Oryzias latipes: one gene and its partners. The protein of the gene in region 3 interacts with the protein of the main gene of each other region in a pairwise test. Links are inferred from orthologs where the notes say so. Each region holds a gene or a part of one and is shown on either strand. Other genes may lie near its edges.

Region 1 (5,147 bases), on a different chromosome or scaffold from region 3:
CACCTGATCCAGGACCCGCCACTTTGGGCCCAAACACCATTTGGATTTCTGACAACACCAAGACACAAAAGAAAACATTTGCCGTCAGAATGTTAATACTCACTCATCATCATCCTCATCGTCTTCATCTTCATCATCATCCAAGTCCATTTTCATCTTTTTCTGTCAGCAGATCAGAAGAAGGTAAAAACCAGCACATCACATTTTATGGCATTTGTTAAAGTTTTTAAGTCAAACCTGAGATTTGGCAGCAGGGGATGAAGCAGGCCTCTTCTTTGATGTTTTCACCTCCTCCTCCTCTTCCTCCTCGTCGTCTTCCTCTTCAAAGGATTGATCCGCCTCCATCACTGAAAGCAGATTAGACAGCAGATGGTGTGATGAATGCAGACCCACAGAAGGGCAGATAAAAGAACCATCTTCAGAAAAACACTTACTGACGAGGTGCTGTCCGCTCAGATGGATCGGACCGGAACCCGCCTTCAGACGGAACACTGCTGGGGGTGTGATCGTGAACCCGCCGAGACACACCTACGAAATCAAGCATGCAAGGTCACACAAGCTGGCTTTAAAGATCCATATTTAAATGCGCCGAAACAAACAGAATGGGCTTCAGGAACTTAACCTACAACACATCAACGTCACAGATCTTTTCTTCAGAAAAAAAAAATTATTCCGAAATTTGAGATCTGTCAGTACAGTCCTCCATACAAAGGCTAACTGTAAAATATCCTTTCAGGTGAGTGAAGGAGAACTGTGTGTACTTACACTTGGAAGGGTGGAGGGTTTGAGTGACACCAGAGCTGCCTTGATTTTCTGCCCCTCTGCGTTCTGTCCTTCCACCTCCACCATGTTAAGCTCGTCTTTGGTGCTGGGGTCAACACAAGCCTGAAGGGGCAAACAAGACAAGGTCTGAGCTACGTTTTAAACATTCTTGTAGCATTCTTCTCACAATGAAGGACATATTTAAAGAAAACTGAGCTTAAACCTGAATTTTTGAGTCTATTTTAAGTCACGAATGAGGAGCAGATGAAAGAAATGTAATTCTATTTGTGGCGCTGGTGCTACAATGAACGTGCCAAACGTTCCCTGCTCCGGTCCATCCTGCGTCGACTTGTTGACTACTAGATCCACGTCTTCCTCGTCTGAGCTGATTTGTTGCAAACTGAACGGCTGAATAGCTTCAACATTGCTCACCATTTTATTGCACTGCTAATGTTGAGCTAGATTCACATAGCCCATTGTGGACAAGCAAGGAGAGACCACCAACACGTCCAAACCTATAGCTGGAAGAGGCTTGGTGCCAAATGTCAAAACGGTGCAAATCTCACAATTTGGGCACAAAACGATAACATTTTGGTTCGTTGCCAACACCCTTGCAATGATTGAAACTGATAACCACCATGCTAGGAGAGTGTTTCGTTATTTGAAAGACAAACGCAGGCACCATCAGGCCTGTCCTAGTGTCTGGGTTCATTTGGTAAACCAGCTACTCCGAGCCCCTGACTGCCTAGATTCCAGTAGAAGCGCGAAAAACATTTACATAGTTTTACTGAGTTAGGCTGCTCAAACATGAAGTTAGGGGGCGGAGGCACATTTTTCCTGGCGGCCTGCAGAAACTATGTCCTACAAGACCACTTTTTAATACTTTTTTTTGGCATAAATTGGCATTATCATGCTTAAAAGCCACTGGGAACACTTTGACAAAAGATCAAGTGGGACTTTTAATGCATTATAATTCAATACATTTAAATTCATTAAATAAAGCCTGAAATTTAAACGCAGTTTAAAATGATAAAAATCCGCTCATTTAAACCCACAAACAGGACTTCAAGCTAAAATCCAAAATATTTCCATTGATGTGCCTAAAAATTTATTCGACATGAGAGCTCAAACGCAAGAATATCACAGAACTGTAGTCTTCATTTCATTATAATTACCAGTTTGAGATCTAACTGATGCTCCAGCTCATCATCTTCAGGACTGAAGAGCACTTCCTTCCCAGCCTCCAATGTGCATCCTAAAAGACAAAAAACGGTTTTAAAATGAGAGAAAATATCAAACTCAACACTAGAGGGCGCTCTAAACGATGCACCACGTGGGAGAAAAAAGTATTTGATTTCCGCTTAACAGTTTTAAAGTTCCCATATTTTATCTTGGATATAATTTATTTAAAATAAAAACAAACTCTAGAGACTCTAAATAGTTTTTTTTAAGTGTTGGCAGGAGTAAATTTCAAATTTGTAATGACTTACTGGAAGATAAAAACTATTTTGACTTCATTTCTAAACAACTGTTTCACCATCTAAAATAAATCTTTATGAAAGAAAAAGAATCTTTTTTTTCTCTGCACCACGTGGCAAACGAAACAGATTACAATAAAAGGACTAAAACGTATAACATCACGAAATGAAGAACAAAAGAAAATATATGCAATTGTATTATAAACAAATGTGAATAAATATAAACGTAAGTATATTTCTAAAGGGAATTAATTAGGTCAGCTTTAAAGGGGGAGGGGCCTAACGGCACGCTGGAAACCACGTTGTCGAATTTTCTAGAAATTAGTTCATGGTCTTGCAATTTAATTTAAAGCTTTTTATCTATTTATTTTTTCACAACGAATATCTTATGCTAGGGTAAATTAAAAAGCAATATTAATATGAGCTGTATTTGTCAGAAACGTAGTTTTCATTTGGGGAGAAAAAAAGCACGGCGACCGCCATGTTGATATATTCAAGGAGCATGTGCGTAATAAGTCTGACGCCGTATTTCCAGTCATGATCCAGTCAATAAAACACATAAGTCATAAAATAAAAACAGACTACACATTTTATGTCCCTTTCTTTAACGTTACACATTCAATTTTATTCAAAAATGGACCGCGCGCGCCTCAGCGGCCGCTCCACCTCCTCGCACGAGCTATACACACACGTGTGTCCAACGTGCACGAAGAAGAAAAGCAAACCTACCAACTTCTCTTACCATATAAAAATGTCTGTGGTGCCAACGATTCTTCGTCCAAACCGTTCATTTTGCTGACTGACACGACCGCCGCTGATCTGCACGGGAACAATCACTGATCGTGGATGGAAGGACTGATGGGGCTGTTCTTCTACTCTGCTGAAACGGAAGTGATCCAGTGGGTGAGAGCGCCTCCTACAGCTCGGCGGAAGTTAGTGCTTAGGGGGTGTTAGAAATTCATATTGAAAGACAGATGCATTTAAAACAATCTAAAGCTAGTTTCTGATTTTATTGATTATTCAGACGTTATTACTGACGAAAGCTTCATTTTCTTCCCAGATTTTGTGAGGCGTTTGATACAGGGTTCATACGGTCATGAAAAACCTAGAAAAGTTTTGGAAATTGAAAATGCAATGTTTTAAGTTCTTGAACAGTTTGTGAAAAACGAAATCTTCTGGAAAGTTTTGGAAAAGTCATGGAATGTTAATATTTTTGATTAAAAAAACATTAATAAAAAGGTTTTACATGAGATTCGAATTTAAATTGTGACAAAAGTTCAACCTCACTTTCTGAACGGAAGTTCCATATAAGTTTTTCTGGAGCATAATTACACTGACCAAAAATATGAACGCAACACATTTGTTATTGCTCCCATTTTTTATGGTATGAACTAGAGGGCTGCATTGGGATCGGGTCCCGCCGGGTCCCGCGGGACCCAACCCAAATCTCGCGGGATTGGGCGGTTTGAATTGTGCTGCGGGCGGGAGCGGGCGGCAAAAAATAAACCCCGCGGGATCAGTGCTGCCATGAATATCTCATGAATATATATTAGCGGACTACGTTAGGCTGTGCGGCTGTTTGATTCTTATGTACTGAAGCTCCGTGAAGGCACCAGGTAGAGACGCCCAATGGCTTCTGTCATCTAACCTGTTGTTGGGGGTGCGCCCCGCCCCGCCTCTTACTAAGAGCGCGCTTCAGGCCGTCTGTCTGCGCGCGCACACACGCACACTTTTAACCGAACAGGATTTGTGAAAATATATTTAATAATTAAGTTGCACATTACACAAAAGAGGAATGCATCAAAAGATGAGTCTGGAGGAGGTCATGAATCTCTTTAGTAATAATATCAATACAAATACGTGTTTTGTTCCTGCGGGACGGGAGACGATACAAAATCAATGCATCTCTATTACTGTGCGGGACTAAATTCTATGAGTTTTGCGGGTGCGGGCGGGAGTGGACATACATATTGCGGGAGCGGGCGGGAGTGTAACGCATACGTTGCGGGAGCGGGCGGGATTGGTCAAAAATTCAGCGGGCGCGGGCGGGAGCGGGATGAAGAAAATAGTCCCGCGCAGGGCTCTAGTATGAACTAAAAGATGTGAAACATTTTCCACATACCCAAAATAACCAGTTCTCTGAAATTTTGTTCACAAATCTGTCTGAATCTGTGATAGTGAGCACTTCTCCTTTGCCAAGACAATCCATCCCACCTCACAGGTGTGCCATATCTGATTAGACAGCATGATTATTGCACAGGTGTGCCTTAGAGTGTCACTGGCCACAAGAAAAGGCCACTCTGAAATCTTAAGTTGTATCACACAGCACAATGCCACAGATGTCGCAAGTAGTACAAGTCAATACCAGTGAGCATTTCCAGGGGGGAGGCGGGGCGATGACGTCAGTGCTCACTCGGTGTGGCTACATGCTCTGTGCGAGCCAAGCATGTCTGATCAGTGCAGCAGGAGTCTTCGTGGGAAGGGTGCTTTGTAATGAACAACGCTCCGGAGGACGCTTCAGACCTCAATCTGACCATGTCTCCCGGGAGAACCGAGTCTCTGAGCCGAAGAGTAGCTTTGAGGCGTCTTTTGAAGGCGGAAGTGCCGCTTCGGGCAGTCCTGAGAAACCATGCAATCATGTGAATTTGTGTTTCAAATCGTGTCCAGACAAAATAAAGGCTGAAGTTTTTCCCACACATTTACAGCCAAGATGCACATTGTGGCACTGCCCGCGGTAAGGACTTTAAATGCATCCGAAGCTAAATGTTGTTGTTGACACATATTAGCCTGATCCTAAACACTTCTCCTGAATTTTATGATATTTTCTTTTATTTTCATCGATACACTAATTATAAATCTGGTTTTAATTTTTTCCCTCTCGGGTTAACGCAGAACAGCAAGCTTTCA
Region 2 (5,107 bases), on a different chromosome or scaffold from region 3:
CGAGAGCTGAGTCAGTGCACAAAGTGCTGACTCCACACTTCAGATGTTTCCAAATGACAGCTCCGTCCGTCACTTCAACTGAAGCCTTCGTCGAGCTTCTTGAAGGACTGGAACGACTCCTGTGCCCGCATCCCCACCATGTCGCAGCTCCCTGCCATTCTATTTTCTACACCAGCTAGAAGAGGGAGTTTCCAGTGTCAGTCCCTCGTGAGCTAACTCAAAAACCAGCCACAGTGACAGCCGTCGGGGAGGACGGACTGCAAATAAAGAGGAACAACACTTCTGTGGAACTGCACAGACACGGGCAAACGCCACTGCTCACACAACCAAGACATCAGTAATGAGGAAGTCCTCCAGGCTGAAAAATTCCCAGCTCGGAGCTCACCTGGTATAAATTGTTCTGGATGTCCAGGACTTCTTTGGGGAAGAGCTGTATCAGCTCCTGAGCGATGTGCGTGTCTTCATGGATGATTGCGAGGTGCAAGAGTCTGCATGAGGAATGGAAGAAAAAAAAAAAGCCCAACTGTCACAGTTTGCATAATCCCGCAGCTTTAACTTAAAAGTGTTAAGAGGGGATGTGTGAACGTATGCACAAACCTGCAGACCCACTTTACATTGAGGAAGTACAAAATGAACGGGGTAAAACCACTTTTGCATCAGAAGTTCTCATCTAAAGGAGATTGACTGGTAAACCTGGGCGGTCGGGCTACTGCAAATGACAAAACTAAAGCGGATATAAAAGGTTACGATAAAAATGGGGCCCTTTTAGGTTTTTTTCCCCCTCCTTCCTCAGTCTAAATTAAGCACCGATCCTGAGCTTCATTTCCTGCTTCGTGCAAACATTTAATTGTTACAAGTTCCCACTACGGTTTTGAGGTTAGTTTGTTTTTGCTTCACATTAAACCTCCAAATCATGTTATCATTCCAGAGAATGAATTTCCCACAAACAGCTGGACATTACAGTTAAACCCTGAAAAGTTTGAATCAAATCCCTCCCAAAAAAACCCTCATGCTTTTATGAATAAACAGTGAAACCAGAAGTGATCCGTCTGCTACCAACGGTTCCCACAAAAATCACAATGAAAACCTTTAATCTAACCTGCTAAAATGTCAAATGTCTCATGTTTCTGAAGACAACACAACAAAAATCCTCATTTTTAAATATTCTTCCAAAATGAATCAAAAGCTTTCCTGAATAGCTGCAGTGAAATGCATTAACTAATTTCATCTAAATTCAAAGAAAAAACCCCTTTAAACTAAGTAATTCCTGACATTTTCTGACCTGGCCACCTTAAATATATCAGTATTAAAATATGTGATCAAACCAATAAGTATTTGTGGTCGAAATGCACAAACACTATTTATTAAACCTGCTCCATCAGAGAGAAGGGATTTAAATGCCTGCAGGCTCAGATGAACCAAAGTCATGGCTGGAAGCAAATATTCTGGCATGCAAGTAACTTCCTTTGAGTTTGAGACGGCCTTAAATGAATAAGACCAAAAAAGAAAGGGAGAAAGAAAAAAAGAAAACTCCCACGGGGGAGAATGAGTGTTTGGAGTGATGTGTTGAAGGTGTTTTTTTTCCCCCTCTTTCTGAGCAGGTATCTATAGTTCTGGTGTGAGAATGAAACCATGTGGTTCTACCAACGGAAATGAAAAGAGGTCAGACACACAGCAAAACTTCTGCCATGCTCCGTTTCTGGCTGCAAGAGTCGAATTTTTTTTTTATCAGAACGGCGTGGCGGGACAAGGTGAGGCAGACCTTACAGAGAAAAGAAAAAGAAAAAAAACAAAGAAAAAGCTGCATCATTTAGTCAAACGGAGAAGGAAGAAGCTGCAAAAATCCACTGACATTTGATCTGTTTTTTTTTTTTTTTTTGGGAAATTCACAGGCTTGTGTTTGACTTGGTGGCGAGGGAAATGCAGACTTGAGTTGTCCTGATCAACAAGTTTCTTGGATGAAAAGCAAACTATCCAGCTACCTCACAGCATGTGCTTTGTCTGAACTGCAGGGGAAGTCCAGGCCTATCTGTTTCACTTCTGTTTTCTTACTGAGTAACGCCTTACAGCAGACCATCCACATTCATAATATGGAGCAGAGTTTTTTTTATAATAATAGAAAAAGAAGAGAAAATCTTCTATTGGTGCTGAATTTCATGGGAAAACGGACTGACAAGTCCCCTCAATGTATGCATCTCCATAAACATCTGTGTGAAACTTCTTTGATGCATTCACCTAAAATAATCCAGATTATAATAAAAGGTATAACAGCTGTAAAGTGAAGGAGCCTCCAAAGTCATTGGAGGATGCTTTTTATTTTTATATTTACATTTAACAAAATAAAAGCCTTACGTGTCTCCATCTTCCGTGATGGACGTGAGAATGTTCTCCTCTGAGAGTTCATCAGGACTTTGCGGCTGCTGCTCCTCGCCGTCTCTAAGACTCCAGTCGTGCACCATCTCTGACAGGCTGTCCGTGGTCATGGACGAGGATCCGTAAGCCGAGTCCACGCGCTCATCCGCGGTGGAAAACTTGTCCCTCGGGCCGCCGAAGTCCACGCTCGGCTCGCGGCGCTCCTCTGAGTGTAGCGTGGCGCGGTACGACGAGTCGATGCCCGAGTCTATGCGCGTGTCCTCCAGCGAGTCATCTTTGCAACGGTCGACGCGCGACATGGCAAAAGCTGCTGGCCTTGTCGGGGCTCCCCCCCCCTCCAGCCGTTTACCAGAGGAGTTAACTAGCGCGTGCCGCCGCCGATAGCTCGGTGTCCGGGCAGCCCGCTACTGCTGCAGCTGCGAGAGGAAACCACCGCTCTTTTGTGAAGCCGGAGGAATGAGCCGCTACGTCTCATAACACAAACCCACCGCGCTTCAGCTCGTAACAGTAACACCGGGCCCGACGGACACTCGTCAACTTTCCGAGGCTTTTTTTTTTTTTAAGAGGAGTTCGGGAAACTTAATCCACTCGGAGGAAAGGACGCGAAAACAAGCGAACACCAGCGGGGAGATATCCGGTTACGGCGCGAGCTCGAAGCAGAGTGCACCGAGCGACGAAAGACGAGAAGGGAAGAACTTTTGAGGGGGGAATCCCCCCTGCGCACAAATCACACACATACGCACGCATGCCCACAAACGCGCGTACATATAAAGTTCAAAAAAAGAACGTCAACAGGCTGACGTCATCACGGCGGATGTGCCACCGTTTCATAATAAAAGTTCTCATACAGCGACAGGAAGTCAAAGAATAGATGTATTTTACTTTTGTAATACATAAATACATTTTCATTGATTTGATAGTAAACCTTAATTTTTTTCATATATGTCCTCCATCATCAGAAAAATGCCAAGAACATGTTATAAAACACCAAAAACACAATTTTCTTTAAAGTGAGTTTGAGTTCAAACAATCTAAAACCAAATGTCTGAAACGAAATTGTTGCCCTTTAACGTTTTTTTCTTGTGTTTTCTTTCTATTTGTCAAAAGCAGTTCCACGTCATATGTGACACAAAAACTTTGTCCTATATTTAGTTATTTTTACAGACCTTTAAAATAAACACATGGGTCATTTAGTAAGTCTTTGTACCTGAAAGTTCAATTTAGCTGGCCGCTTTGGACAAACACAAAAATCTGCAAGGTTTCAGAAAATGCATTAACTGAATAATCTTATTTTCACTCATATATGTATTCCTAAAATTCCATAGAAGGTACTTATTTTTATGGGACTAAAGTGTTTTTTGAGTTCTTGAGAAATGTGATCCATGTAGGTTTTGTATTCACACGATACAAATGATACAAATTATGCAATGAGCGGGTTGATCATCACCTCAACATGGATCATTCATTTCAGTTATCCTTTGTAGTTTCATATAAAGTAGACTTTTTTGTGCATATTTGGCACAATCGTATAATATACTCATAAGTACTGCCATGTAAAAAAGCTAGTATGTAGGTAATGACTGTAAATGTAAGGAGATTTAAATATTGGTGTCTTTTTTCATGTGTAGTAACACTTTTTCTTACATTTTAATAAAAGCATCTTTTGTTTTGCCTTTCAAAGCTGATGTTTTTCTTTTAAGAGGTTGCATTAATCTATAAATACTAACCTCGTTAAACTGTGTGCACATCTTTTTTGCCTTTCTGCAACACAATACCTGACTTTTTAAAAATAATGCAATCCGAATGAGCCCGGGTCTCAAGAGGATAAATAAAATATAGAAGACATATTGTGGAAAAATTAGTGTTTCCAAGTGTATATTGCTCCTAACCCACTGCTTTTAACGCTGTTATGCTTTCTCAGTCCACTTTATTCAAGTCAACAATCGATACTATATTAAAAAAAAAAACATGCATTCTGTGCAGGATTATGGAGACACAAACACAGTGAGGCACAAATCGAGAATGAAAAATGTTATTTCATACATGCTAAACATTTCTTTATCTTTTTTAGAGCTTATTACTCAACTTGTGCTTTCTTTTAACACCGTCACTGAATGACCAATTCCTTTTTTTTGTTTAAATTTCTGTTTCACAGGATTGTAAAAGGGTTACATTTTTTGAGTGTTTGTAAAGCCTAATAATCCAAAACTTCTATTTTCTAATCAAAAGCATAATCCGTAATATATCAGTAACATAATGAAATACAATATTAGGGAAAATGCATAAAAACAATGTTTATAACCCTTGTGCTATCTTAGATGACCCCACCCTTGCATTGACGTGTTCTCCCTACCATGACAAAGGTGGATAAAGGTGGAAAGATTTCATGTAATCCATGGACACCAGTGAAGATCACAAATCATTGAAGAAAAAAGGTTCAGCGCACTGTCTAGTGGGTCTAGATGACCCAACTCCCAATGTTAAAGTGCATAGCACAAGGGTTAATATTAAAAATACAGACATTCTCTGGAATAATAATAATAATAATAATAATAATAATAATAATAATAATAATAATAATAATAATAATAAATCATTGGCAGCAGTTAGAACATGGTGAAAATACATCTTTATATTGGAATTTCATGTACTATAATGCAACCAAACAAAGGGAAATATTTTTGAGGACGAGGTACACTGATTTGAGTTTGATTATTTGTGGTTAATTGGTGAA
Region 3 (4,559 bases):
AACCTTAAAGGAACAACATCAGATGCAAAATATTTAGGATCAAAACTCACCGGTTGACACATTCACAGAGGAAAGTTTAGGTGGGACTGTTCTCCTTGCAAAGTTCATTTGCCGCCGGTCTGATGGGATGGAAACTGAAACAACAGATGCCGTTTTTTTGGTCATAAACACTTTAACAAAAACCTTCAAAGAACAGCTAACAGTATCTAGTGAGCGTACCACTGGACAGCATCGACCCCAGCTTCAAGTTCTGGAATACATCTGCTGTCCGCTTTCTCTTCTCATTCAGCCGGTATTCATCTTTAGGAAGAGTGAAAGATTTCACATGAGGATGAATGCATGACATGTCCTAGGAAGGTAGAGATGTGTGCATCTTACCTGGGTCAGCTGGTAGGTACTGGAAGTCCACAGGCTCGCTCACTTCACGGTCAGACGGCCGCCGAAGCTGCATCTTCACCTTAACTGGCTCAACAAGGTTGGTGTCACGGTAGGGCGGCGTGCGGAAGACGATCGCCACCTGCCTGTGCACGTCCGCCTGGGAGAAGGTGCCCTTCCCCTCCCAGGAGTCCTGGAAGAAACGCACCTCGATGTCCTCTGCAGGGAGACGGGAACATGGGAGAACACCAAAGAATTGAGGAGTGTGCGGTGCTTTGACAAATCCCAGCTGGTCACAGAAAGACACCGCCGTCTCTGGAGTTTCGCTGGTAAACCAGCTTCCGTAGGGCAGCAGTCTGAAAAGCCGCCTGAATGCTTTCCTCACACGTGAAAAGGCGAATTTTCAAAGATCCAACTGTGCTGATGCACCAACGGCTTTAAGGCGACAGATTCCTGTGCTGACGAAACGTGAACGACATCAGTACCTGCAAAGCTGTGAGGTGCGAGGAAGATAAAGAAAACAAGGGCAGAGGACCAAGAGGTGGAAGTTGAGAAAGGAAAAGTGCTGTTTGGCTTTTAGGGAGGAGGTGACACATACTATGGGAGATCGGGAGGGTCATCTGCAGCTAAAGTGATCATGGAGCCAAGGAGGGTCCAGATGTGGACCGCCGGTGTAGGTACCATAACCGTTCGGCCTACAACAACCGTCAGGGGTCCTTCGAGTAGTGCTGAGGTCACATTATGTGATTGGCTGTCCGTTGGTCCGATGACGTTTTAGATAGTGATTGGTCTGGACAAATTATGACACTACCATAGAAAAAGACATTATGAAGTCCAGAGTAAGCAAACAGAGCTCCGACACAGAGCGGGGTTATCTTGTAAACGTGCTTTTATTATTGTTCTGATTATTATTAAGTCCATTTGTAGCCAAACGGCCTGCGTTCTGAACCCTTCTCCGGACCGAACACTCTAACAAAGCACCTTCCCCGCCTATGAACACGAAGCTACAAGACTCTGGCTGCTCTGATCAGAGACACGGTTCACTCTGTGGAGCAGCAGGTTCATTCTAACAGCCACAGATCTTCTTACAAAGTGGGTTGTGGCTAAATCTCTCTATAAACACTACAAACAATAATGTAGGACAGAACTTATGAAGGAAAATAACTTTACGTTGCAAAAAGAAACGTGAAATGAAAATATGTAGAGCCCGAGCAGATCTCCATGCTACATAGTTTGTCCAAGTGGGGCCACCGTAGTGTGACTGGAAGGACCCCGAACGGTAGTTGTAGGCCGAACAGTTATTGTATCTACACCGGAGAGAAGAGTCTGTTGGTCCGGATGTGGACCGCGGTCCGCCATTTGGTGATATCTGGTTAAGGGGCTCTGAGGCAGAGCTGGAGGCAGCAGAGATGAAGATGCTGAGGTTCTCTTTTGGAGTGGTCCGGGTGGATCTGGAATGACCATCAGAGGAACAGATCCTGGTTGTGGAGATCAATGCAGAGAAGCAGATGGAGAGGGTTTGGACAGGTTGAGAGGAGGAACAGTGATGATGTCGGCGAAAAGATGCTGAGGTTGGAGCTACCAGGAAAGAGAGGAAGACCAAGGAGGAGGTTCGTGGAGGAGGTTGTGTTGAGTGTTCCCAGAATGCAGAAGGATGTAGTTTCTGTTTTACTAGTCTATATCTGCACGCTTTCACATTTAACCCCTCGACGCCTAAAAATGCAAATATGCATCAAACCACTTCTGCTCCAGTCTTGCCTTAATTTAGCATCGAAAGCAAAAACTTAAGCCAATGTTTTCACAGCTGGTAACAAATTCAGGCATCAAAGGGTTAAGACACGGAGGAACACAGCATCAGAAAAGTTTGATGCTAAGTTATGAGAGCCCTCATGTCACTGGGAAAAACAAACAGACCTTGATGTGATCATTTGGTACTTTATTTTGAAAGATTCTTTTGTAGTAGGAGCCAGCGGACATGGTCTGTCGACCCCGTCTGCTGCAGAGCCCCCTCACGCATCTGCAGTAACGTCTGTTTGGTGGAAGCCTCACCTTTTTGCACTTTGTCACACAGCAGAAAGATTTCATCGCCTCCTTTGCAGGTTCCAGAGTTCCGGTTGATTCTGCAGATCTTTAACTCGGCTGTGTTTGGCGCCCCTGCAAGAAGCAAAAGTATTGAAAGACGGATACTTTCAAATAAAGAATTGTCTAAAGTTGTCCATTTGGGAAGAATTTGAGTTTTGCAAATTAATGTCAATTCTTCAAAGGTGGTCAAATCATCTTTTGATTTATTTTCAAAGTGTTCCCAGTGGTCCTCTAATTATGAGTTTGCCGTTTGTAGACAAAATAAAGCATCTGTTTTTTGGACAAAGTTTCTGCAGAGCGGTAGGAGTTAATTAGAGATTCCCCTCTGAGTTGTGGGCAGAACCGTTGCTGTGGAGTAAGCACGACCTCACTTCCCGTGATCCATCTGTTTACACTCTCACCTGCTAGCTTAACCTAGCATTAGCGGTGCAACAAAAATGGCGAGCAATATTGGAGCTATCCAGCCGTACAGTTTGGAGCCAGATTCCAGCTCAGACGAGAAAAACGAAGACGTTCACGCCTCTATTGGTCTGACAGTGGATGCAGATACGCTCGCAGATGTGATCTTTTTCAAATTACATTTTTCATCTGCTCTTGATTCACAATGATTCGGAAAACAGAAATACCCACAAATGCAAATTTAAGCTAAATTTTTGTCAGAAAAACACCACAAGAGCGTGTAAAAAACACCAAAAATCCAATTTTCATCAGAGTGCGTCTTTAAAGGGTCTAAGGGCAGGGATGCCCAGTTTATTTTAGTCTGTTTAGTTAAAGTTTACTGTTATATAATATCTATAATATAGAATTATTGAGGAATGATTCTTGTAAATCATTTCAGGCAAATAAGAAAAATCTTTCCTCCAAAGAGGAACAAAGAGCGTCTGTGGACGCAGACGGTTTCAAGCTGTTTATGACGCACCCAGTACAGTATCATTAGATCGCAAGACTTTACAGTGTTTACCCAAGCAATCAAGCTTCCCATGAGTGGAGCCCACCCGGCCTCTCTTCCTCTGCTTCCTGACGGAGGTTTGCTAAAATGTCTGAGCTTTGCTGAACGTCTTCCCAGGAAAAACTGCGGCTCCAAAGCGGGCAGACTGGTTTTCCACTCACTGTTGTCGTAGATGGGCTGTGACACGACCGGCTCCAGAGGGTACAGCTCCCCTGTGGGGAGCGTGATCTTGGCCTGGAAGCAAAGCCGCACCGAATTCAGGTCAAACTCCTCCTCCCACACCTTGGACTCAGGAACTGTAAGGGAAACCACAGAAAGGAAGTCAGGCAGCGCCGATGTGTGTTCGTGACCTGACAGCAATATGAAACAGAAAGGGCTGCTTTCACTTCTACAAGGTTTGGAGATGGAAAAGAAAAGTCATCTTGTTTCAAAGCCGGGGCATAAAAATATGACAGCAAGACACCAACTGGATGACATGCAGGGCTGTGCAGAAACAAACCACAATGAAGGCACGCAGCGCTGTGGAGATAAGGAGCCACAGAGGCTTCACAGCAGCCGTCCTTCTCATTTACACCCACTGCGAATCTGGTACCAAACACTGCATTCTGATTTCCAAAAGACTTCAGGCTTTGATGCCCTTATTTAACCAAAAACATTGTCAGCTGTCATTTTTTCACTTTAAAAGCCCCTCATGTAAATGAGACGTCCAGTTTTCACTAAAGATTACGTTCATCTTCTGCAGAAAGAAAGTGACTTAAAGTAACTGCACCCTCACGTATCACGGGTTATTTTTAGAATGACTACGTCGATAAACGAGGGACGACTGCATGGGAAAATTTGGGTGAAATAGAAAACCAAATGGGGAACTTGTGAATCAGAATAGAATAGTTTCAGTGCTTTGGCAGTGACAGCAGCTCTAAAAAAAGACCACACACAAAAAAACGCCTTATTTTTATCAAGAAAACTCATCTTTGAATTGAAACAAACAAGAACCCTTCATGAAAAAAAAACACCTTGTAACACTAAAGCCGAGTTCATACTGCATACCGTGCGTCAGTGGCATCCAGTTCCAACGTTCCAACGGACAAACGCGGTCAGAGATCCCGCCGCCCGTTTCTTTGGGCATAATGACACATTTTAGGGGCTGCAGCCA

Evidence for each region.
Region 1: the proteins of putative transcription factor p65 homolog (region 3) and nucleophosmin interact in a two-hybrid assay, tested with the Homo sapiens proteins (2 studies listed by BioGRID and IntAct). The link is inferred for Oryzias latipes from reciprocal best matches to the Homo sapiens genes RELA and NPM1.
Region 2: the proteins of putative transcription factor p65 homolog (region 3) and nfkbie interact in binary tests that used the Homo sapiens proteins (3 or more experiments, as listed by UniProt). The link is inferred for Oryzias latipes from reciprocal best matches to the Homo sapiens genes RELA and NFKBIE.

What each region holds. Positions count from the first base shown.
Region 1 is NC_019872.2:18,721,461-18,726,607, reverse strand, and holds the start of nucleophosmin, read right to left. Parts: upstream 3,147-5,147; 5' UTR 3,032-3,146; coding exon 2,983-3,031; intron 2,018-2,982; coding exon 1,938-2,017; intron 886-1,937; coding exon 766-885; intron 529-765; coding exon 435-528; intron 348-434; coding exon 238-347; intron 163-237; coding exon 104-162; intron 1-103. UniProt on the Homo sapiens protein: Involved in diverse cellular processes such as ribosome biogenesis, centrosome duplication, protein chaperoning, histone assembly, cell proliferation, and regulation of tumor suppressors p53/TP53 and ARF.
Region 2 is NC_019882.2:5,907,165-5,912,271, forward strand, and holds the start of nfkbie (NF-kappa-B inhibitor epsilon), read right to left. Parts: upstream 3,147-5,107; 5' UTR 2,673-3,146; coding exon 2,353-2,672; intron 489-2,352; coding exon 386-488; intron 1-385. UniProt on the Homo sapiens protein: Sequesters NF-kappa-B transcription factor complexes in the cytoplasm, thereby inhibiting their activity. Sequestered complexes include NFKB1-RELA (p50-p65) and NFKB1-REL (p50-c-Rel) complexes.
Region 3 is NC_019876.2:27,221,163-27,225,721, reverse strand, and holds part of putative transcription factor p65 homolog, read right to left. Parts: intron 3,703-4,559; coding exon 3,568-3,702; intron 2,530-3,567; coding exon 2,425-2,529; intron 595-2,424; coding exon 379-594; intron 301-378; coding exon 220-300; intron 135-219; coding exon 51-134; intron 1-50. UniProt on the Homo sapiens protein: NF-kappa-B is a pleiotropic transcription factor present in almost all cell types and is the endpoint of a series of signal transduction events that are initiated by a vast array of stimuli related to many biological processes such as inflammation, immunity, differentiation, cell growth, tumorigenesis and apoptosis.